2 linked regions of the Neurospora crassa OR74A genome follow. The protein of the gene in region 2 binds, or shares a complex with, the protein of the main gene of each other region. Links are inferred from orthologs where the notes say so. Each region holds a gene or a part of one and is shown on either strand. Other genes may lie near its edges. The genes, in order: NCU02935 and NCU03836.

Region 1 (11,545 bases), on a different chromosome or scaffold from region 2:
TTCCCGAGCATAAACAAAGGAAGCCCAGCCAAGTTCACACACCAATCCCGATACGCCATCTGAGCTTCACCTACACTACACACAACTCCCTCCCCACGCTCGATCATCACTCCTCCATCTGGGCCTTCCATGTGGATAGATGAGACGCAATATGTAGACCATTCCTAAATCGGCCCATTGATCTGCTGATTCTAGTACGTTCGACCCTGCAGGGACCCTTGATCGATGCCTCAAGGACGCCAGCCAGCACGGAGATGCAACAAAACCTCTGCACGGGCGACCCGTGCGGTGACGATGTCGTGGAACACGTTGTAGTGTATGTAGTGGCTCCCCCCCCTCCACTTTCATTCTATCTGCATCTTGATTGGCTGGATGGGGCCGTGTAAGTCGTCAACTCTCTCCACTTTTCAAATTCTGGACTTTCGAATCTGATAAGTCGACGAAACCCCTCGTGACCCCATCTTCTACACTACACTACACTACACTACGTACTTACCAGATCCTCCCGAACTGGAGGAGGAGGAGGCGGAGGACTGGAGACCCTCACCTCCTTGACACCTACCACACAGCAACTCAATCTCCATATGTATATACACTACAAGAGAGCTCGCTCAGACGCGAATCTAACAGTACGACTGCAAATCCCCTCCCCCACCGGGTCCGGAAAGGACTTCCGGCGCGCGGGGTTCAAGAGATAAACCCGCAACACTACCTACATACACTACAACTCTATGTACATACACATGTAGTATGCTATTTTGAGATGCTCTTGCGTCGTCGACACGGTAGATGCAGTCAACTCAATGGTGATACGGCTAAGTAGTGTATATAACTCGTGCGTCAGTCAGGTCGCTGAGGATCTCTGGCCCCATATACAGAGTGCCACGAAGCGTACCTAGGTTGCTTGTACCGGTTCGTACCGAGTACCTGACAAGGCGGGGGGGCTCTCTTTTACCTTTCCTCGCAATCGCAAGGTACATACCTGGTGGTAGTATTAGATTCAAGCAATTATGTCATTGAACATCCTTGAGAGTCTGTTGTTGTTCACCCATCAAATATTCCATCAACGATCATCCCATCACCCACTCTGAATCTCGCGGACCTTCCAAAAAGACATCGATACCCTTCAGTTTATGAGTTCAAGATGTCCACTCGAAATTAGAAAAGCCCTGTCAGCCATCCACCTTACCTACCCACCAGTATGAAAGTCATATCCCCAACGGTTGTGTACCACTCTACTTTTCATCACTTGTGCCTGCCACAAGATAGATTCGATCCCTAAATGCACAACTTCACCTAAACACTTATCAACTGTGTTTTGGTATTAACAGCCATTGAATGTCATTTAAAGACTTACCATTACCCTCAGCATCCAGAAAGACAAAAGAGAAAAAGTGCTGCTTCATTAAAAACGCCTAATATCCTATGCACAATAGGTAGAAGAAAAAGAAAAAAAATCAACCACCGATACCCCAAAAAACCGATCCTTGACTCCTTAGCTCCCAGCTCCCACCCAATGCATTCCATGGAAATCCTCAAGTTCCTAAACCCCCAACCAGCGAGACGAGCAAGCAGCAGCACCTAATAGTACCTATAACGACCGATTGCCATCAAATTCCCATTCCCATTTCCTTCCCGTCCCTCGCTACCTAATCCATTCCATGCTGATTCAAGAATCAAAACTCCGTCTTTTGAAAACCAGAACAGCCCAGAGAGAATCCCGCCTCCAAACTCCCAAAACACCTCGCTTTTCCTAGTACCTTTGTATGTTTTGCAAGGTCCAGATATAGACCACACATACAAAATATGATCTAACCCAAAACGAAATAATACGGCATATGAAAGCCCAAAACCGCAGCACCAAGGAAACGCCCACAGCAGTCCCATCGTCTCCTCAAAATTTCTTCTACCCCCCTCCGATCCCACTCACGCTTCCATTCACTTGCCCGGACATCCTGCTCTTTCTCCTTCCATCCCATCTCCTCCAGTTTATTATCATCCTCTTCCGCATCTTCCTCTTCGTCGATAATGTGCCCTCCCTATGAGGCATTCCCGTTCCCAATAACATCCGAAAACAACAGCAGCGGCCACTGTCCACCCCCGGCTCCAACCACAGCTGAATCCGCCGCCGACACTCCCAACCCATCAGCTCCGTCTCCCGGTCCGTGGCCGGCTCCGCCGTTAACATGCGCATGCGAATGGTCGACCATTCCGGCCCCCGACACGTCACCCGGCCTGGTTGACCCCAGAGTTAGTAGCGCATTAGCGCTGTACCGCTCTTGGGAATCAGCCATGGCGGCCGCCCAGTCATGCCATGCATTGTTGTTGGGTGCATTGGAGGCGACTGATGCTACGGCAAATTGCGGGTGAACCTGTGGTCGCCATTCTTCCGTCCCGGTACCCGGTTGGCCTGTTGTGGAAACGTGCTGGGTGGCTTGAGAAGCGAAAGCTATTAAAGGGTTGATGGCGGAAGAGGTTTGGTCCATTGCTGCGGCAACGGTTTGCGGGGGTGCTGTTGATGAGGTTGGGGTGGCTGTTGCGTAGAGGTATTGCACACTGCCGCCGGAGGGGTCGTAGGCTGCTAGGTTAACGCCATTACTGGTTTGGTGGGCGTCGGCGCTGTTTTCATTCAGAGACATGGTTTGGTAGGGGGTTGCTGAGCCATCGTAGTACCCGGTTCCGTTTGTGCTGACGCTACTGCGGTGGTCATTGGGTGTGACCGAGTGACTGGACGCAATACCGTTGCTGTTGAGTGGTTGCTTAAACGGTAGGAGAGGCTGCTGCTGGAATGGTGATGTTGATTGTTGTTTGGCTATGGTCTGGTCGACTGACAGTCCATCCTTACGGCTCATGTCGCGTTCGATGCGGGTGATGGTCTGCTTGATAATCGTGTCCAGGGTGGTTGCTAGACGGTTTCCGGTACCTGTTAGTCGACCAATCTCGCTGATAATTTCGAGGCCCAAAACCATATCTGCCCTTAAAGTGGCCATCTCCATATGGGTGATCTCATGTCTCCTTTCCCAGTTTGCGACGAGAATCGTCAACGTTGAGGCGACGTATACCGACAACTGGTACCATGTTGTGTCCAGAGACTTCAGTTTCAACAGCTCCCCTACCACCTTCAATAGCTTCCGAGCTGTCTGCTCGCATATCCTTGTGTTCTCAGCACAGAACTTGGGGTCCTTTTCTAGACAAACCGACGGATGTCTAAGACAAAGCTTAAACTCGAGACTGATGGCCTGGGTATACAGTGCAAACACCAAGTCGGTCGGCTGACACTTTTCCACTCGCAGACAGTCGGGTAGTTCATTCGTCAGCTTGCGCATTCCGGCCTCAAGTTCGGCGACGGTATCGACATATTTCTTGGGATCTCGCCTCACGCTGTAGATGCTAGAATACATCTCCATGTACAAAGGAACAGCCTTGAAGCCGGCAAGCCCAATTTGATAGCGGCAATGACCAATCTTGGATGGGTCCAAGATGCCATCTTCTTCGAGATACTCGTCATCAATAGCAATTGGGAACTCAATGTCGAATTCCTCGAGTGTGATGGGCATTGGCCTGCCAAGTCGGCCGTTAAGGGTAATGATAATACCCAGGATGGACCACCACACCCTTTTGCGCAATTCGTTTTCAAGAGTTGTGCGCCCATTCGGTATCTTGTTGCTCCGATGGAAGTTGAGTTCAATGGCCTTCATCATGGCAAAGTTGGCAATGGTAAAGGAACATCCTGGTTTGGGAAAATTGCGGGTGTGAGACGCCAGCATGGCCAAAGCCTGGACCGCGGTAACCGTCTGAGAAACGGCAAGTTCGAAGAACTTACTCAAACACCAATGGTAGTGCTTGTTAGAAAGGTCATTGAGCTGCGCATGGTCCTCTGGCTTCTCGCGATGGTTCCTGATACCGTACTGGAAGTACATGCTTGATATCATCATGCGGACCAGAACGAGTTCGGGTACTGTCGCTTTAAAGGTCGGATCATCATAGATGCGAGTCAAGAGCTGCATAAACGAAGGCCTGTGGACTAGTGGCATGTACGGGTATATGGTGAGGAAGTACCACTCGGCATATGTAAAGGCGTCGTGTCTCGAGGGGAGGTCGCAATGTTCCATTGGCGGGTTTATCCTGACTAAGGACTGATAAAAGGCCGTGACCGATTTGTTATACAACGGTGATCCGATGGGAGTATTTGGCGAAGGCTCATCCATATCGGGGTCAGGATCGTCAAACGAAGTGATCTCAATGGTAGTTCCAAGAACCGAAAGGGTGGTGCCTTTAAATGTCACGCCTAGGTAGCTCTCTGTCGGCCTCGATTCCAAGAGCGAACATCTCGTATAGCGCCCTGGTGTGCTCTGTGACCCTCGCCTGCTTTTTCTATACCACACCGAGCCTTGTTGCTGCCATTCGCCTTGGGACACGGGATCGTGGATGGGATTCCCCATGGCATCCAGGGTGACACCCGGTGGGTGGGGGTTTCTATTCGCGTTTGACCCTTCCCACGGTCGGATTTCAATTTTATGGTCGGCCAACACTCTTTCGAGGTCCCTCACCCTGGCTTCGAGTTGTTGGGTATAGCCTCGACGTTCGGTACGGCCTGTTACACGGTCTGTTACAACGCATTCGATGTTTTGGCTCGCGCAATGGGAGCAGCCCGCAGGGGAGGCATCGCAGCGGATTTTTCGGACCTGGGGACGCACAGAAATTAGTATGTTACGGGAACGCGACGCCGGTTAGACGCGCAGCAGGCTGTCAGAGCGACAGGTCGGAAAATCAGTACCTTGCACCTGTCACAAGCCTGACCAGTCCGCGTGTATTGTGAGAGCTTGGTCTTGACAACACTCGAAAAGTCTTCTGTACTGCGCTCAAGACGGGGCAGCTTCATCTTGGGTTGTAGGCCATTGTCGAGAGGAGTGTCCCCGGCTTCGCTTGGCCGCTTTGGAGGACCGCCTGGGGGCATGATGTTTGAGTCTCCAATCTTGACCAGATCTGTAGGCGAGCGTGGGACGATTCGAGATGACGATTCGAAAGAATGATAGTAGTAACCGTTGTGGGCAGCGAATGGGTTGGTTTGTTGTCAATCGGGTGGTTTCTTGGAAACGGGTTATGCCGTGGAATTGCAGCGCAGTGAGCAAGCGAGCGGATGAGCGACGGCGCCGACGGACTTCAGCTGCCACGCTGAGTCGCTGGTCTGACTGTGGTCAGGGTAGTGGCGGTGGTGATGGCGGTGGTGGTGGTGGTTGTGGTGTGTCGTGAGAAGAGAGGGACGGGATGGAAAGGGACGGACGGGACGGATGTGCGATGGAGATTGCCGCGCGGTGGATATGGCGTGCCAATTAATATTGAACGATGACCGGGAACCTTGAAGCGAAGGATGGTTGGCGTAGGGAGGCACTGATGGCGCTGGATTCCTGGAGGGGAGGGGAGGGGAGGGGAGTGAGAGCGAGGGATGTCGGTTCCGAAAGCGTCAATCAAGGAATGGATGGATGTGTCCAGGGCGCCGGAATCGAGGAATTCAACTGAAGGGAATTAAAAGTTCACGGACTAGGGGGGGGGGGGGGGGGGGGGCGGCCGTCGATCGCTGATCAACCCAAGAACATTGAAAGAAAAGAAGGAACATGCTATCACCGGCCCATGATTGTTGCGACAAAAAGGCAATGAATTGGGAAATATGGCCCATTCAGGTCAAGGGCAATTCGTCCTCCTCGACGAATGAATCCGATTTCACTCGGGGCGGATCCGTTACGTTCTGCGAGTGTCCCGATTTGGCATGGCTGCATCTGCATGGAAGTCGAGTTCACGGATTTGGTCCAATTCCCAATCATTCCCAATGCAATCACGATCATCGGTGCATGGCAAAGGGAACATCCATGGCTGAGAGTATCCGAGCGTGACTTAAGCTGGGTGGAGTTTTTATTGTATGTTAACGGGATTGACCTTCGTCCGAAGTGAGCAGCCTGTTTCTGGGCATCTTTCTCAAAGCCCTCAAGACTGGCGCTCATCCAATAGAAAGCCGAACGCTCTCCTGTTTCCAGTACACCAAAAAAGTGGCTTTTCGTAGCAGGGCCGTATATCCTTCTGTGGTTTCTTCGACTACACTACTATCCGATATTTCCCATCTCTTCCCATCAACATCGACTGAGGTGGGGGTCGGGACTACAGGTGGTGGTCCCCCTTCCCAAGACAACAACCATCATGTCAAAGTCAAGGTACGCCGCGGCATCCGTGTATCCGTCGACAATGACATTCCCTAAAACACAGCATATTGCTGACGCTACCTGGCCGTCGCAAGATAATGGGAAGCGTACCTCTAGACAGTCCGAGACATGTGTTCATGTATCCGCTGTGGTTGCGTTATTGCGACCGAGAGCCCAGATTGTGAGAACCTCGACGGCTGCACGCGCGCCATGTTCCACTTTTTGGGCTGCCAGATGGAAGAAACTCAGACAATCGGAACAGCGACCCATCGGCAATGTGACAAGTTGATTCCCTGTTACGTAGTATATGACCCAATACATACAGTCAAACGTTAAAGGGGCTGACGTCCGGGCCTCTTGGAATTGACATGCTTGGCGGGGTCACTTGTGTAGGTATTGATCCCTGTCACCAGCGCGACGCGCCCCGGCGCCCGGGGATCTGCCCCGCCATGGAGATCCCGCCGATGGGCGGCAAGGATGCATTCGCCGTCGCATTCAACTTTTGAGTCTGTTTCCTTATCGCCAAATCAGAAAAAGTATCACTGGAAATTGCCCAAAAAAAGAGTACGGTACGGCACCCAAACACCTTCTCGACCTCAATCCAAACCAAATAATACTGACGTCGGCTTCTCAGCATAACGGACCGACACATGATTCAATAACACATCAATCAACCCGTCGCATTCCATCCATCTACCCCACCAGCCATCACCATCACGACCATTTACAACCGAGGACCACAACCGTCGCGATGGCGCTCGAAACCCTCCAAATCGAACACGTCCCCTCGGACCACCATGTCTACGCCGCCCTCTTCCGCGACGTCCAAAACGTCGACTTCCTCCAAGCCCAGCTCATCGGCAAGAACCCCGAGTTCGAGTACGCCTTCATCGACGCTTCAGTCATCATCTCCCGCACACACCTGTTCGCCGCCATCTTCCGCGCGCTCAACACCTTGACTGAGGGAACCCTTCAGACGCCCAACGTCCATTCCGATATTGTCATTGGGCTAAGTCCGACCAACAATGTTCGTCTTTCTATCCATCCATCCATCCATCCATGTCCTTCCTCTTTTGCGATAATCATAATCCACCTTCACTGCTTTTTTTTTTCTTTTTTTTTTTTTTTTTTTTTTTTTTTTGCTTTAAGTGAGCCAACCCATGAGCTAACAAAACAAAAAAAAAAAAAAAAACAGATCTCCGAATCCTACCGCCGCTACGGTCTAACCCCCTCCAAAACGCGCGACGTCCTGGTCATCAAAATCGTCTACCCCAAACTCAGCTCCGAAAACTCGACAATCACCAGCGAACAACAACCAACACCAGAAAGCATATGGCAACACCTGACTACTCACATTCAAGGCACGCCCGTACCGCTTACAAACGAGGAACTCGCCAAGTCGACGGATTGGGCAAAAGTGCGCAAGTATTACAAGCTGAATGGCGTGCCGGGCGTCGAGAGGATAGACAAGGCGGATGAGGAGGGGAGGCGGAAGGAGATGGAGGGGTTGGTTATTAGTGGGATTGCGCTGAGGGGGTTGTAGATGAGGCAAAGAAAGGATTGGGGGAGGAGGAGGAATACAAGCATAGGACAAGATAAAGGTCAAGACAAAAAGTCGATTGACAGATAAGAATGAAGGAACTGAAGATACCTCTAGAGGTTGGGGAATGACCTGAGACGGAATTGGGTTGTAGAGAAGCATAGACTTGGACATGGAGAGCTGCATGTTGAACTGACACCAGACCAAGATACTACTGACATCTTTACTGTGCAGCCGTGGCGAAAGTGTCTGAGCGATGCATACAACAACAGAGCAAAAGATGGAAAGAAAAGACAAAAGTAGTGGATGTCAGGATCGAAGCGGGAACATGGCCTAGGTGAATTATTGGCGGGATGCTACCATAGTGAATTGGCGCCATTCCAGGGCAAGATTTCAGGTGATTTCACAGGCATGTTAACAGAACGGTAAGTTGGTCTCATAAAGTTTTGATGTTGGAAACAATATTGTCATAGGACCTTTGAATGGGAAGACGGAAATCACGACGACTAGACCGGGATGCTTTCATTCATGACTTGAATATTTGTATCTGTATCTGTCAAGCAAAGTACCCACGCTCAGACCAAGGCCAAATCTACTAGGTAATCGATCCAAGATGCCAGGCAAGCAACCCTCGCAATGCGCCAAAAATAATGATCCCCAAAGGCCATAAAAAAATGACATTTCAGGTTCTTACACCCACTGGAGGGCGAGCTTAAGAAGAAACCCCAAATAGCCCCTTCACTCTCCTCCTAACCTCCCTTCCCATCGCCTCCCGTCCACTCCTCGTCCTCTGCACCGCATCCCGATTCTCATAAGCCCTCCGCAACAAATACTTCATGCACTCCCCCGTCGATCCCCACACCAGGTACTTGTACACCTGCGGCTTATTGACCATTTCACTTCCCTTCTCACTGCCCTTCTCACTTTCCTTCTCCGCCGCCATCTCCATTTCCTTGGGAGTCTCGTGCGGCCCAGCAACAAGCTCACAACTAACCTCGTCCGCCATTCCCTGCAGCTGGGCGAACGCCACCTGTTCATAGCCCAGCTTGGCCACGCCGCTGTCGAGAAGGGCCTTGCCCTTGAGTACCGATTCGCGGTTGTGCGTGGCTAGAACGACGCCCACGTCGGGGAAGTTGGTCGTCTCCTTTTCAGCAGATCCAGACTGGGGGACAGGAGGTTGCAAGGGGCCAGACCAGGTCTTGCGGAGCAAGGCTTCGGCAATCCCATCGTACTGGCCATCCGTGTCGGCCTTGGTGTCGCAGATGAGATATCTGGGATCAGCGCCCAAGTAAGCGCCGCGAACGAGTTTCACGCCGAGGGTGAACCCTTCGGACGCGGCGATGGCGAGGTGCTTAGAGAGAGTGGCAGGTGTGGATTTGAGGTAGGCTTGGTAAGTGCCGTAGACTACGGCGTTGCTTTTGTTGTAGCGGCGCATGTAGTCGAGCGTCCAGTCGTCGATACCAGGCTGGAGAGCATTTTGTTCGGCGTCGAAGAGGAGGCGGACGCCCCGCTCGGCGGCGAGGTTGCAGATTCCGTCGATGGCAGAACCTAGAGCCTCGGAGGGTGGGAGCTGTTTGGAAAGACTATAAAGGGCCTGGCGGCCGGCGCCGGTGAATTTGAGAGCTACGAAGTCGCCGGGAGAGGCAAGGCGGACGGTCTCCATGGTTCCTTCGGCCCAAGGGTTGATTTCCGTGCGAATGCACTCCTCCGCAGCGGCGCCACCCTCGGCCGCGCAGGAGGCGAGATCTTTGGTCTCCGAATCAGTAAGGACCACCTCACGGGCGTAGCCGAGGATGACACCACTGAAACCGATTTGCTTGAGGGAGTCGATGGTTTGGCGGACCTCGGCCGGATTCTCACCGGCGCAGAATTGGGCGTAGAAGGTCTTCTTGAGGAATGCGCGGAGGAGAGGGTTTCGGTCGGGGTTAAGAACTGGGTTTGTGGTATGGGCTAGGACGGACATGACAGCTAGTGAAGGCGGTAGGAGGAAGGGCGAGGAGGAAACGGTGGTGGTCATCCATGATCGGAGGACGTTTGTTAGTGGCAGTACTGCCAATGGCGAAGGTCCCGGTGTCTTGGGCATCTCACTGGACTGAGACCCGCCTGTTGCTGGTAATGATGATGCGTTGTTGATGGTTAGGTGGTCGGTAGGCTTAGGTCGGTTGGTGGAGGAGTGTATAAGTCGGGTGGCATATGTTCTCCCGACGCCGTTGATACGCCCGACCATTAAAATTGAATGTGAGACATGATGACGTGAGATAGAAGCCGCGGCAGGTCCAAGGGCCGAAGCAATGGTTCTTGCCCGAGCATGTCCTACGTTGCAAACCAACTGCCTGCTGGCCGGTGATGTTGAAGTAGGGAACATATTGCAGTGTGTGATGGGGGTGCCGGGATGAGACCAAATAAAGACAGGTCAACACCGTACAAACACAAAGGATGATGAAGCAGGTACCGAGGGAAACAGAGACGGGGTAATGACTGTGGCATATATAGATGCAGCTTGATTCATGACAATCAACCACACCACAGACCTTCGTCTCATCTTTATCTCCGGCTCGCCCCTGGGAGGCCGGGACCGCTAGCAAATCGAACGTACCAGATCCATCCCCTCCGAGTACACTAGCGCAGCGTGGGACGGGCAGAAGACAAGTTCAGGCCGACTTGCTACACTACTATCTGGGATAAACCCTCATCGATCCTCCTTTGTCAAGGTTTCGTTGACGCGGGTGATGCTGCGGCGGGATGGTACCTGATGCAGCCATTGGCATCAATTGCGCTTGCTTCTTATCGGGCGTCACGTGGCCGTCCCCCAAGGCCGCCAGTAGCCGCGATCTGCTGGGGGGTGATCGGAGAGGAGATTGGGCTGAGTGACGTGCCCCCTTTGATGCCCGCTTGATGAATGGCCAACAATTGGTTCTTCCCAGCCCTGTCTCGCCAATGGAAGGATGCTGAAATAACAGTTCCAATCCAAGCATTCCAGAGCTTTCCTAGATATACCCACCTATCAGCTGATACCTTTACCCCTAGTGTAGGCCGCCGGGTCTTCGAATTCCAATGCCGATGTTGGAAAGCTTCGATACGTACTGGCCAATAATGGTGACTTGTGCGCATACCTCGGCGAAAGAACGCCGATGTGTGTCTAGACTCTACTCTATAGAATCCGATGCGGCTGAGCGGGCGCCATGTTGGATTCCCACAATGCTTGGGCATTTCGTGCAGAATTGAGGGTCTTGAGTTTGTCATAGAAATGGACTAGTAAACCGACTGCCCGATAAGTTGCAGGGGTTGTGCTGTTTCGACCTTGAATAACCGTTGCGGAGCATTTGGGACTTCCGAAATCGGCTGTGATGGTAACACTGAAGAGCAACTAACCAACCTTGTGTTTTTGTATCTCTTCACCGATCGGATTGGGATGCACCTTTGAGTGGGCAAGGGGGATTGGACTTGTATCGTCTTTAAATCACCCGCTCCTTCTGGTTTTCGTCCGCGGTATTCTTAAAGCCGCCAACGCGGCGCTTGAGGAATTCGACATATCCGATGGGTCGACCTCTTGCGATGCCAGCTACATCCTGCAAGCCTCCGTAAGCGAGACCTACGACCAGGGCAGTTTTGGTTGTTCGGGCCGCCATGGGCAAAGAGAAACGATCTATATGGGAAAGTCATGATTAGCGTTTGATGCGCAAGATCTAGGACAGACAATCACGTACTCCATAGACTGAAGGCTCCCGCAACAGTCACACAGGCGGTTACAGTATTGAAGATGTCGGCCGTCCCGCGATAGGCGTCAAACATGTGCTCGATGCCAAACATG
Region 2 (11,478 bases):
GGCCTCCCATTCACGAGCACTCCTGGGCTGACACCAGCAGAGCAGCAGCCCGCCGCGGCTACTGTCGTCCCGCAGTCGGCAGGTCCCCTCTTCGGTTTGGCGGTCACAGACTGGAACGGAGGCAAAAGAGGGAGAGGCGGGCCGCGGCCTTTGGCTCGGCTGGGCAGGCGGACAGCGGGGGCAGGCACGAGGATCTATGCCGTGGATGGTGGGGTAAGAAGTGGGATGCACGGGCCACTTCTCCTCCTCATCTCGTATCAGCCCATTGATTGATTCATTTCAACACGCTGCCCCTTTCGACGGTCAGGGTTGATGTCTGTTGGAACTGTTCGCGTGCCTCCTCGTTGAAACCAAACCAACCATTGACCGTTTTAGGAATTCTTAAAGGAATGCATCGCATGTGTGCTGCTGCGCATATGATTTGCACCTCGGACTCCATCTTTATTTGGCTGCGGTGCACTGGTAACAGTCAAATGCCCAAATCTCCAGACAGTCACAAGTTGTCGTTGAATATTGAATGCGATATCAACGACATGGAGAGGAAGTGGTGCAGGATATCAGTCTTTTATTTGGATCCAACTTGGGTGTTGTCAGGTTGCGCACCGAATGCCCTCAGTTCAAGGAGTCTATGACGACCAGCAAATGCTTGCTTGCATCGTCATTCCACCAAGAGCCAAAGGGTTCTGATAGTAAGATTGAAAACAAGCAAAAACAGGTAACAAAAGAGTAGAATCAATGAGGCCGCGGTGTATCTCTGTAAGATTGCACGCCAATCCTTACCTTACATGACGATATTGCTCTTATCGGAGCGGGCTGGCACTGCCTTGGGCTCCAGTTGGCAGCTTGGCTTCTCAGGCGGGCAGTCGAGGTTGGAGTCGTCGGATCGGGTTCCTTGGAGGCGCGCCCGCGCTTCCAACTTTCAAACAGTGCAGTGGCCACTGGCAGTGGTGGTTGACTGGTTCGTTGCGAGTGGACGCGCAGACCATGGACGGCCCGGGCAGTGGGCACCACGCTTACGTTCCCTCCCTGAAAAGCCAGCAAAGCCAGCGCGACCAGCAAAACTTCGCCCAAAACCACCCCATTCAACCCCTCCCCCCGCCATTCAGGCTTCGCAAGAGCAGAAGCCCAGCCAATCGCCAAGACCGTGCATTGGCCGTCGAATCCGCCGCCAAAACAGCAAAATCTGCGCCGAAACCTCAACGACACTCCATCAAGGGACCAGATTTTGCCCATCAAAATATCACCCACGACGCGAGTTTTCCATCAAAAAACTCGACGGTTCGATTTCGCATGCAATCCCGCATGAGATAAAAAAAAATTTCGTCGGGGTTTCCCCAGGCCTTTCTGCCGCAATTGCCCACACCTTCACCATGGCGACCCGCAAGGTTCGGTACAAGAAACTGAGTGTCAAAACACAACTTGCGGTGCTCAGGGAGGATCAAATTGAAGCCTCTGAGTATGAATCACTCACTTCCGAAAACCAAATAGCCACCGGTGTCGAACAGGCCGAGGAAAATGTGAGTTCAACACCTATGTCCGATTGATCGCGACCGGGGTCACGTGCACGTGCACGTGCCACCCGTCTGCCGCGCCTCCATCACGCCTCCATCACCAACTCACCTTACCTACCTTCCATGCACACAGCCATGCATGTCACCGGTGCTGACCTTACCCCTTCTGTAACTAGGAATACCATCTTCAAGCTGTGCTCAAGGGGGCAGGAGTCGCCGCCGACCAGGAGATTCCTGTCCCCCCTCCACAGCAGAGTGAACTGGATTACGACCAGTTCTACCCTCAAAAGGTGGCCAAGACATCCACGTATATCCGTTTTTCCCAAACGGTAGAAGAATGCATCAGTTGCTTGTATGACATGACCGAGGACGATGAGACGTTCCTCAAGTCCTACAACATGAAACTGACCCCGTCTGCTCGTCTCTCCGAAGATGATTTCGAGAGGATCATGGACGTGTATGAGGACATGGCGGCGAACATAACGCCGTTCTCGGCCATAGACCAGACAGTGCCGTCGTATCAGGAGATGTTGCGAGGACTGGAGCCATTAGACAGCACAAAAGTCATGGTTCATGCCAAGCAGATATATGAGTACTGGAAGTCGCGCCGCGAAATCAGCAAAAACCGACCGCTCAACCCTACACTGAAATTCGAGACACATGCGGAAAGCGACGAGCTTGATCCCTACGTCTGCTTTCGCCGAAGAGAGATTCGTCAAACTCGCAAAACGAGGGCAAGAGATGTCCAGAGTGCGGACAAACTCAAGCGGCTGCGGAAGGAGCTGGAGGAAGGTCGTCAACTCATCCTGGCAGCCCACAACCGGGAATTGCTCAAGGCAGATATGCTCAAGGTAGAGCGAGCCATCTTCGATCAACGAGCCATCATCAAGGAGCAAAAACTCCGACTCGGCATCAGGACGGGCGACGAGGATCTAGTAAACCAAAAGGTTAGTCAAACGGCAAGACGTGCAAGACTTACATCAGCCAACGCTAACGCTTCACAACAGCCGCAAAAGAGGAAGGCTCCGGAGGCACCCTCAGCTCAAAGACCCCCTCCACCCCCCCAGATCCGTATGCCTGTGCGCCCCGATGGCCGTCCCGCAGAGTCAGATCTTGTCCAACTCTCAGATCGCCTTGCCGAGAAGAATGCGGAGCTCATCATCGAGATCGAGAAGAAGATTCAGAACCACATCGACTGGAACAAGAACTATGTCGACCTCACTGGCAAGCCGCTGTCTCCCGTTCAGGGCCCAAGACAAGATTTGGGCTTCAGACCTGCCAAGACGCAGTATCTCATGACGCCACCAGCGTCTGCATCCTCAGGATCCATGGATGAGCCCACCCCGATGGATCTTGATAAGCCCAAACCCAACCCACCACCACCAGTAAAATTCAGGGGCGTTGCCCAGGACGAACAATCATTGGCGCATCCACCCTCATATCGTCGTCGTATCGGCCGGTTGAACAGGTTGTGGATCGACCGTCGTGGTTTACCTAGTCCAGCCCGAGACCTCAGTGAAGAACAGTCCGATCGCTGGAAGTATGATCAGTCCTCTGATGACGAGGACGACGCGCCGGTGTATATGCTGGACCCCTTTGATACAAAGGCATTGAGGTACCGTGCTTCAATACCACTCCAGACGGTCACAAGACCTCCCCCACCGGTTATCAACCGGCAGTTCATCCCTCCGGGCGCCGTCCCACAACAACTTGCCCAATCTTCTTTTGCTCCGGGACAACCACAACCGCAATCACAACCTCAACCAAATCAATCACAATCTCTCCCTCTACCTCAACCACAACAACCAGTAGCACAGCCACAGCCGCAACCGCAGCCCCAGGCTCAACCGGTGTCATAAAATTGGCGTTTGTAGGAGTGTTGTGTTGTCATCTTTTTTAGATATCGTTTGGCTTTTTTCGCGGGCTGGTGGTCGAGCAGCCGAATAAACTTCGGAAGACCGCTGCTGTGTATACCCCTCAACTCTCGATTGATGCATTTAGCGATATGGGGCCAGGGCTAAAGAGAAGGATCTGGCCGGGGCGAGGCGTTTGGGTTGCGGCTTTTGCGTAGGTTTGGCGAAGTGGGGAACGGCTCATGTATATATGTAAACAAGTAGTCGTACCGATATCGTGTAGATGGCGGCGGATAGCTGAGACACGCGAGAAGCTGTGCAGCGACAACAGTAATGAGATACCAAAGCAGTAAAATACCACTTCTGGCTCCCATCAGTTGCTTCACGCGGTGTTGTATTGTGCAGTGTGACTGAACCACGAAAGTGGCTATGGCCATCAAGCGTGGAGGCTGGTCTCGATGTCTGTCAAGGCATCTTCGCTTCTGGAAAGCCTGGAGGGCGAACGAAGCCTTATAGACCGGGTGCGTCCGCGAGGTTGTTGCCCAGGGGAAAGCAGGAATGATCTCAGAGATGTTCCGAGCGTTTGGTCATCGGCAGCCCCGAGACAAGTGCTGCGAGCGTATGCATGTGCCACATTTGGGCTTAGGTAACACACGGTGCTGCCCTGGGCCGATGTGCGAATTGGTCGGAGGTGTGCGAGAATTTGCGAACCGGGTGGGCCAATAGGAAACCAGCAATCGAGCTGCGGTCCGACACAGGACGCTTCACAAGAAGACAGGAAGTTGGGAGGACGACAAAAGTGTCGAGAAAGAGAAAAAGGTGTTCCCTCGCGCCCCTGGTAGACCGGGTCGCTGCTTAGCGTAGAGACGGGGGTCGCCCCTTTGGCTTTCGGAGCGACCGTGCAGCGTGCTTGGTGATAAAAGAGTGGGGACGCCTCAAAGAAAGAGGTCTCGCTAGGTACGTAGGTGGAAAAAAAGCTGAGAAAGAGAAAACTCGAGCAGAGAGAAATTGACCGGTCGTTACGATATCGATGCTGGCTTGGACGTCGAGTCTTCCGTTGCCAGGCTTCGGAGTCGAGACCGCTGCTCCTTTTGGTGCAGGACCCTGGCTTCTGGCAGAACTGCTGATCGCCGGTTTTCCGGAACCGAAGATGCCTTGCAAAAAGGGACATTCCGATCTGGTAATCCGCGATTTTGACGTTGGTGAAAACTCGAGCAGGAGAGTTCGAGGGCGCTCTAGAGTGGGATCACCGAGCAGCAATGGTTGGCTGGCTGGCTGACTGGAGGCCAGCTTTGCTGACTTGGTGGCGAGGTTCGTGATTTTGAACCATGAAGCCAGCAGCCCACAACAGCATTTCCCAAAGACTTGGAAAGGCGGAAGAAGAAGCGATGTCCAAAGAAGGTGGAAGACAGAATGGAGGTGTCGAGTGAACAGCTTTCCATGGGTGGTGGGTGGTCCTGTGGTGCAGAGTTCTGGTCAGCCTAGGTTCACCCACAACGGTACCGGACATATCAAGCCCACATCAGACGGGTTGTGCGAGACAAAAAGATGGCCAAAGCAGCATTCTGAAGTCAGACGAACGAGGAAAACACACCTCAAGAGGGAATATGGGTATCTCCATCCCCATAGACTTGGGGCGGTGCTGAATTCACGGCCTCCAATCCGGCCCAGACGGCCCCGTGAGCTCGAAAGCTTGCAAGAACCGAACAAGAAGCAGCCCGGCCATGTTCTGCCGAAGAAATGGCAGGCAAAGGATGGTGAAGACAAGGAAGAAGTCGGCTGGGCTGTTGAAAGAGGCAGGTCTGGCCGTGCGGTTGGGAGGTTTGGGTTTGGCGGCAACGAGGTGAGGTGTTGGGTGATACAGGCTCGGAGGATGGAAGATGGTTGGACGGCTGCGGACTCTCGCTTGGCTGGGAGAATTGATTCTCGGTGCAGTGGGGTCCCGTGCAGAGAGCCCCAAGCCCAGGCTCGGCAGACCCCGAACTGCTCGGAGCCTTTTTGCACTTCCACAGAGCAAGTCAAATCACGTAAGCTCATCTGCACATATTTGTTGCAATGGAACTGTTGGATCAGCTCATGGCGAAAAAGCTAGAAATAATCAAACTTCTAGTGTCTTTTACACAACTCATGCATCCATGGTCACAGTTTGCGCCGTTGCGGCTATATGTGGATAGAAATCGTTGCTACTACTAGCGCACGAGCCACGCTACGTGCCTGCCTTACATAACATTGCATTGCGCATCCAAAGCAACATAAAGGTCCCACTCGACTGTGCACAAGCGGCTGCGGGGACCCACATTTCATTGAACCCCTCATCGACTCCATGGAAGGCTCTGACGAAATCCCATTGCTGATTCCCATGGCGAGGCCGTTCCCTTGTTTTGAGAAGAACAACGGGCGAGAATGGCTTTAAAGCATCGTTACAAGTAGTGAACATGTCGACCGGTTTTAGGAGACGGGATACCGGCCCGCTGGGGGAATAAGTATGTACATCCTCTTTCATCTCGATCTCGAGTTTCGTCACCTTGATCACTACGGCGCGCCTAGCCTAGGTATTCACAGACGCGACGAAATTTTCCCCACTCTAAAAAGGTGCCCCTCCATTATCACTTTCTCCATCTGACATCTGGCATTGGATGTGGCACTGACAACATCCATCCATCCATCCTATTCAGTACGCGACGCGACGCCTATCAACAACCAAAGGATATCAAGGTCCTCGATAAACATCCCCAACGAAATATCCTTGCGAGTTATCTGATACGAAGCAACCGGCTCCCGATTCACCAAGTAACCGAAACCCTCTCCCTCCCTCGCTCTATCCAACAAAGCCCCAACAGCCAACAATGCCCGACGCCAAAGGCCGCCGCATCGCTCTCGGATGCGAAGGCTCCGCCAACAAGCTCGGCATCGGCATCATTGCGCACGACCCCATCACCGGCGAAGCCCTTGTCCTGTCCAACGTGCGCGACACCTTCGTCTCTCCTCCCGGCACCGGTTTCCTTCCCAAGGACACAGCCCGACACCACCGTGCCTACTTTGTGCGTGTAGCCAAGAAGGCGCTCGCCTTGTCGGGGGTCTCCATCTCGGAAATCGACTGCATCTGCTACACCAAGGGGCCCGGGATGGGCGGGCCCCTAACGTCGGTGGCCGTGGGCGCCCGCACACTCGCGCTGCTGTGGGGTAAAGAATTGGTGGGCGTGAACCACTGTGTCGGGCATATCGAGATGGGGCGGGCGATAACGGGGGCGTCGAACCCGGTGGTGCTGTACGTGAGCGGGGGTAATACGCAGGTGATTGCGTACGCGGAGCAGCGGTACCGTATCTTTGGCGAGACGCTGGATATTGCAGTGGGTAATTGCCTGGACCGGTTCGCGCGCACGCTGGAGATCAGCAACGACCCGGCGCCCGGGTACAATATTGAGCAGCTGGCCAAGCAAGGTGGGCGAGTCTTGTTGGACTTGCCGTATGCGGTCAAGGGAATGGATTGCTCGTTCAGCGGAATCCTGGGGCGGGCAGATGACTTGGCGGCGCAGATGAAGGCGGGCGAGCCGGGCCCCGACGGCGAACCGTTTACACCCGCAGATCTGTGCTTCAGCTTGCAGGAAACGGTATTTGCCATGCTTGTCGAGATCACCGAGCGGGCTATGGCGCACGTCGGTAGCAACCAGGTTCTTATTGTTGGCGGTGTCGGTTGCAACGAGCGGCTACAGGAGATGATGGGCGCGATGGCAGCGGAGCGAGGCGGAAGTGTCTACGCCACCGACGAGCGGTTCTGCATCGACAACGGCATCATGATTGCTCATGCTGGTCTATTGGCCTACGAGACGGGCTTCCGGACGCCGCTTGATGAAAGCACATGTACACAACGCTTCAGAACCGACGAAGTCTTCGTCAAGTGGAGGGACTAATGACAAGGAAGGAAACGAAGACGAAGATGACCATTACGACGATACCCCCAAATCCCATAACCTTTACTCTATCCACGGCAGCCACTCTATATGCGCCTCTTGTTGTCCCTTAGTGCCCCCTTAATGGAGCAGGATGCCCATGGACAGTTTGCCGACAACAATTTGCGCCCGCTTCCATAAAGTGTCCTCGTCATCGCTACAGCGTCCTATAGACATTACTTGTAGACATATCTAGAATAGGTCATACTGGGCGGTTCATCATGCACCGCTATTCTACTCATGACTTGCGCTGTTCGTCTAGTAGTGGTAGCCACCAGCCAACTGTACCCAGCTCTGACTACTAGCATTCCAAACTCAGATGCCCTCTGTCGTTGTTGGCTTGTACATGATTGTCGTCACATACTGTACAGTCCGTTAGCATCAACGACTACGTGCAAAAAGATGCAGCTACGAAATACGGGGAGACGAACCTTGTTCTTGTATCTCGTCGTGGCCGACACAGCCAGAATATTATTCTTAATACTGCTAGTAGCTAGATGGTTAAGAACGGTATGGTTGGGCATGTTCAGAACGCTGTTGTCATCCTTGATCAAGGTGGCCGCGTTGAGGATGGGCTTGCCGAGGAAGCCAGGAAGCGCAGGCGGCGTTGGGAGTTTCTCGATGGCGTTGACAGCACTCAGGTAAGGTGGACTTTCCTCGGGTGCGTCGAAGTCGAGTAGATATTGCGGGATCTTGTTCTCGAACAGCTCCGCCGGAGGGACAGGTCGGTCCCTAGGTGCCTTGCTTTCCTCCGTCTCGGACGCGGAGGTTTTGGGCTCCGTAGGTTGCTGGGAATCCTTGGCGGCGCTTGCAGCAGCTGCCTGGGCAGCGGTGCGCCCCACATCATCAGGGCTGACCTCGATGTAGTTGACCAGGTTGTTGCCAAAGTCTACCGTGGTCGGCAAGTCTGGCGAGGTCTGCATTTGCCCGTCAACCAGAAAGCGAACGTGATGTGTGCCCGGCAGGATATTGATAATAGCAGCGAATACACCCGGTCGGCCCTCACTGTTGGCGAGTAGCGGTGTCAGCAAGGCCCCATCCGTATTGAGAGCGAAAGTGGCCGGGATGTAGAAAGTACTTACACCGGGTGTAATCGTGTCTTCCTGTTCCATTGGAAGATGGTGCCTGTCACGTAAACCTTCTCGCCGCCACGGAGCCATTCGAGCCTGGTGGGGACAGTCGGTCTAGTCTTGTCCACCCGTAGCTCCTCCGTGTCTTCTTCGTCCAGAGTTGAGCTGTTACTCAAGTTGGAAGAGCGTCTGGTGAGCGCGGTGAAAGTGTCGGCATCCTCGAGTGGGACCCCAATGTCGGTCGGGGCAATGATAGGCGATCCGGGTGTGTGGACCTCTTCCTCGATCGGCAGAGGTAGTCGCGGCGGCCTGGTCAGGTACGAGACATCTTGCAGACTGCTCAGCTGCATAGCCGCAGTCTCAAAGGCATCCGATCTCTCTGATAGCGGTGATCGCACCGGCGACCTAGGTGAGCACGACGAGGCGTGGCAGGGTGTGGGCACGGCTACAGGTTTCGCGGGCTCATGACTGTCTTCGGGTCTCAGCTGTCTTACTTCGACAGGTTTGGTGGGGGTGGCAGAGCTGGTAGGCACCGACGAGCCCGGCGAGCCGCTCTGAGAAGGTGGCATTCGCGAGTGCAGCGACTTGGGACGAGCGGTGGTTGAGGGCGGCTGGACGGCGGTGCCCTGGGCCTGGGTCAAGGAGGGCTCAGGAGGGGCAGCGACTCGCTGATTTGGGACCGGTATAGGGTGCTTGGTATCGCGCTTCACTGCTCTGGCAGAGTCATTTTGGATGGAAGCCAGCGACTGGTGCTGAGACTGCGATTGAGAGGAGGAGGAGGAGGATTGCGGATTCGGGGTCTTGGAGTCTCTGGAGGTGGAGGGGTTGTTCCCCATTTTCCCTAGCTCGATCGCTGGCGCTGATGACGGGATGGGGTCGCCGTGGTGGTCGGGTCGGTCGAACGGGGTCGTCACAGGTGGTTCGCTGCTACCGCGGTCTGCTGCTGTTACTGCTACACCTGTTCAACAATGCGTCCACCGGGTGCAATCAATTCATCTTCCACTCTCCGGGGTAATTGGCCGAGTTCGGATAGAAGGTGGTTTGACAGTCGAGGGGCTTTGCATGCTACGCCAGCGCTGGTCGTGGCTGTGGTTGTGTGGTTTTTGGGAATTCGAACGACGTTGTCAGGTGTCGTGTCGTAATAGAGTTGGAGCAGGCAATATCGCAGCAAACTGGAAGATGTGATGATTCGAGTCGTGTCGAATCGAGGATGCGCGAAACAAGTGGAAGAAGTGGAAGTCGAGAGAATGACGGGTAGGTAGAGAGCTCAGTTCAGTTATCAGAGTATCACTGCAGCAGTTGACTGTCCTCCCTTGGGCCAAAAAGCACAGCTGCCATCCACCTGGTTGCTCGATAAGAAGCGGGCGACCACTGGCAACTGAATGGAACTCGGATGCAACGCCCCGGACTCGGCGAACAGAGTTGAACTGTGGATGAGTGTGAGACGGCGCCCAGCCCAACTGCACGGCAGTGTCTCCACTGTCCACCTCCAGGCATCGGCCCCAGCTTCCACTTCGGCCCCCACCTTTCCCACATTCTCTCCTGCTTCTCTAGCTCCTGGACCGTGCGCCCCTTGCATGTCAACTCCTGGCCCGCTGTGAGACCTGGAGCTTGCGCTGGCGCGACGCGGCAGGCAAGAGAGGCGGCCGATCTTCTTTCCAGAGAACAACTTATCGATGTTCACATGCATTCCTCTAAAGAACATCACCCTCCTTCGTCAAGTGTCCTTTTCCAGTTATTCATTCACTCGCTCAGCTATTCGTAGACGAGTGAGTTATCGGTTTCCGCCCCCAAAGTTACCAGTAACATCGCCATCCCTACACATCTCCCAAAAATGTCGGAGAACTACGTTGCCCCCGGCCAGCAGCGCTACCTTCGTGCCTGCATGGTCTGCTCTATCGTCATGACCTATGCTGTAAGTCGAGCTGCCCTTCCTCGTTTCTAGTCACTCTATGACCGACAAGTTTCTGACCTTTTTTGTTTTTGTCATAGCGCTTCCGTGACGAAGGATGCCCCAACTGCGAAGACTTCCTCCATCTCCAGGGCTCGCCGGATCAGATCGACAGCTGCACGTCGCAAGTCTTTGAAGGAATCATCACCATTGCCAACCCGCAGAAGTCGTGGGTGGCGAAGTGGCAGAGGCTGGACGGTTATGTGAAGGGTGTATACGCGACCAAGGTGTCGGGCCAGTTGCCGGATGACGTGCGCACCACGTTGGAGGATGACGGCATTCAGTATATCCCGTAAGTTTCCTGCTTACACTCGTGTGGTCTGGCGAAGCAGGCTATGATCGTGGGGTTTTCGGGGCACAGCCAGAAACTAACTTGGAGCAGGCGCGATGGCAGTGCGACGGAAGCGGACTAGAAACTCGAAGCTGCGGTGCAAGAAAACAAGACGGAATAGGGCGGATAAGAAAGCAGGAAAGAGAACCGACAAGCAAGAAGGAAGAGGGACCGATAATAGATCGTTCACAGACAACCCAGGAGCGGAATGCGGAATGCCTGTTAAAGGGAAGGCAACAGGAGTTCAAGGCGTTAAGGCTGGTTTAAAGGGCGTGGTCTAGACAGCAGGATAGTGGCCATTTTTTGGGTTTTGCATGATCAACCCAGGGCTATAATTACACACTGCAGCGAAATACAACAATCATACAAATGAGTTTATCACTACCTAACCTATATGGAAGATTATTCATCCAGCTACGGATCCCTTTTACGAAAACCCCAATGCAATATGGTATCTTTTTTTTAAACATTTCCCATCACGCCGAAAACGCCCCTATAACATGTACCGAAATATTGCCAAACCCGGAGATAGCATAACCTTTGACCAGTTACCCACGTGAGACTCCACAGTATGTTAAAACTGGAAGCGTGGCTTCTTGTTGGGAAAGTTCCCACCCTTCTCCTCGCGAGCCCTCTTGCGCTCCAACTCCTCCTTCATTATCCTCTCGGCCTCGCTCATCTTCTTGGGCGGAGCAGCCATAACCTTCTTGGGAGCCCCAGCAAACGCATTCTTGAAGACGTTCTTCGGTTGGGGCTTCATGCCGAACTTCATAGATACCGGCTTCGTGGCGGGAGCAGCGGCAGCAGCAGGA

What was found.
Region 1: NCU03836 (region 2) and NCU02935 share a complex: the UniProt entries of both Schizosaccharomyces pombe proteins name them as parts of the EKC/KEOPS complex. The link is inferred for Neurospora crassa OR74A from reciprocal best matches to the Schizosaccharomyces pombe genes kae1 and cgi121.

The regions. Positions count from the first base shown.
Region 1 is NC_026501.1:8,638,720-8,650,264, reverse strand, and holds NCU02935 (cgi-121), read left to right. Parts: upstream 1-6,119; 5' UTR 6,120-6,206; intron 6,207-6,289; 5' UTR 6,290-6,763; intron 6,764-6,828; 5' UTR 6,829-6,945; coding exon 6,946-7,221; intron 7,222-7,389; coding exon 7,390-7,737; 3' UTR 7,738-8,072; downstream 8,073-11,545. Other genes in the region: NCU02934 (hypothetical protein), read right to left, coding at 2,040-4,685, 4,778-4,957; NCU02936 (proline oxidase), read right to left, coding at 8,447-10,099; NCU02937 (hypothetical protein), read right to left, coding at 11,190-11,380, 11,442-11,545. UniProt on the Schizosaccharomyces pombe protein: Component of the EKC/KEOPS complex that is required for the formation of a threonylcarbamoyl group on adenosine at position 37 (t(6)A37) in tRNAs that read codons beginning with adenine.
Region 2 is NC_026505.1:2,563,341-2,574,818, forward strand, and holds NCU03836 (O-sialoglycoprotein endopeptidase), read left to right. Parts: upstream 1-5,683; 5' UTR 5,684-5,956; intron 5,957-6,039; 5' UTR 6,040-6,210; coding exon 6,211-7,275; 3' UTR 7,276-7,556; downstream 7,557-11,478. Other genes in the region: NCU03834 (histone acetyltransferase complex component Epl1), read left to right, coding at 1,371-1,517, 1,688-2,458, 2,519-3,370; NCU03835 (hypothetical protein), read left to right, coding at 4,624-4,675, 4,891-5,207, 5,300-5,391, 5,475-5,538; NCU03837 (Snf1 kinase complex beta-subunit Gal83), read right to left, coding at 7,630-7,677, 7,746-8,319, 8,397-9,220; NCU03838 (transcription elongation factor spt-4), read left to right, coding at 10,219-10,299, 10,377-10,627, 10,718-10,748; NCU03839 (APF1), read right to left, coding at 11,241-11,478. UniProt on the Schizosaccharomyces pombe protein: Component of the EKC/KEOPS complex that is required for the formation of a threonylcarbamoyl group on adenosine at position 37 (t(6)A37) in tRNAs that read codons beginning with adenine.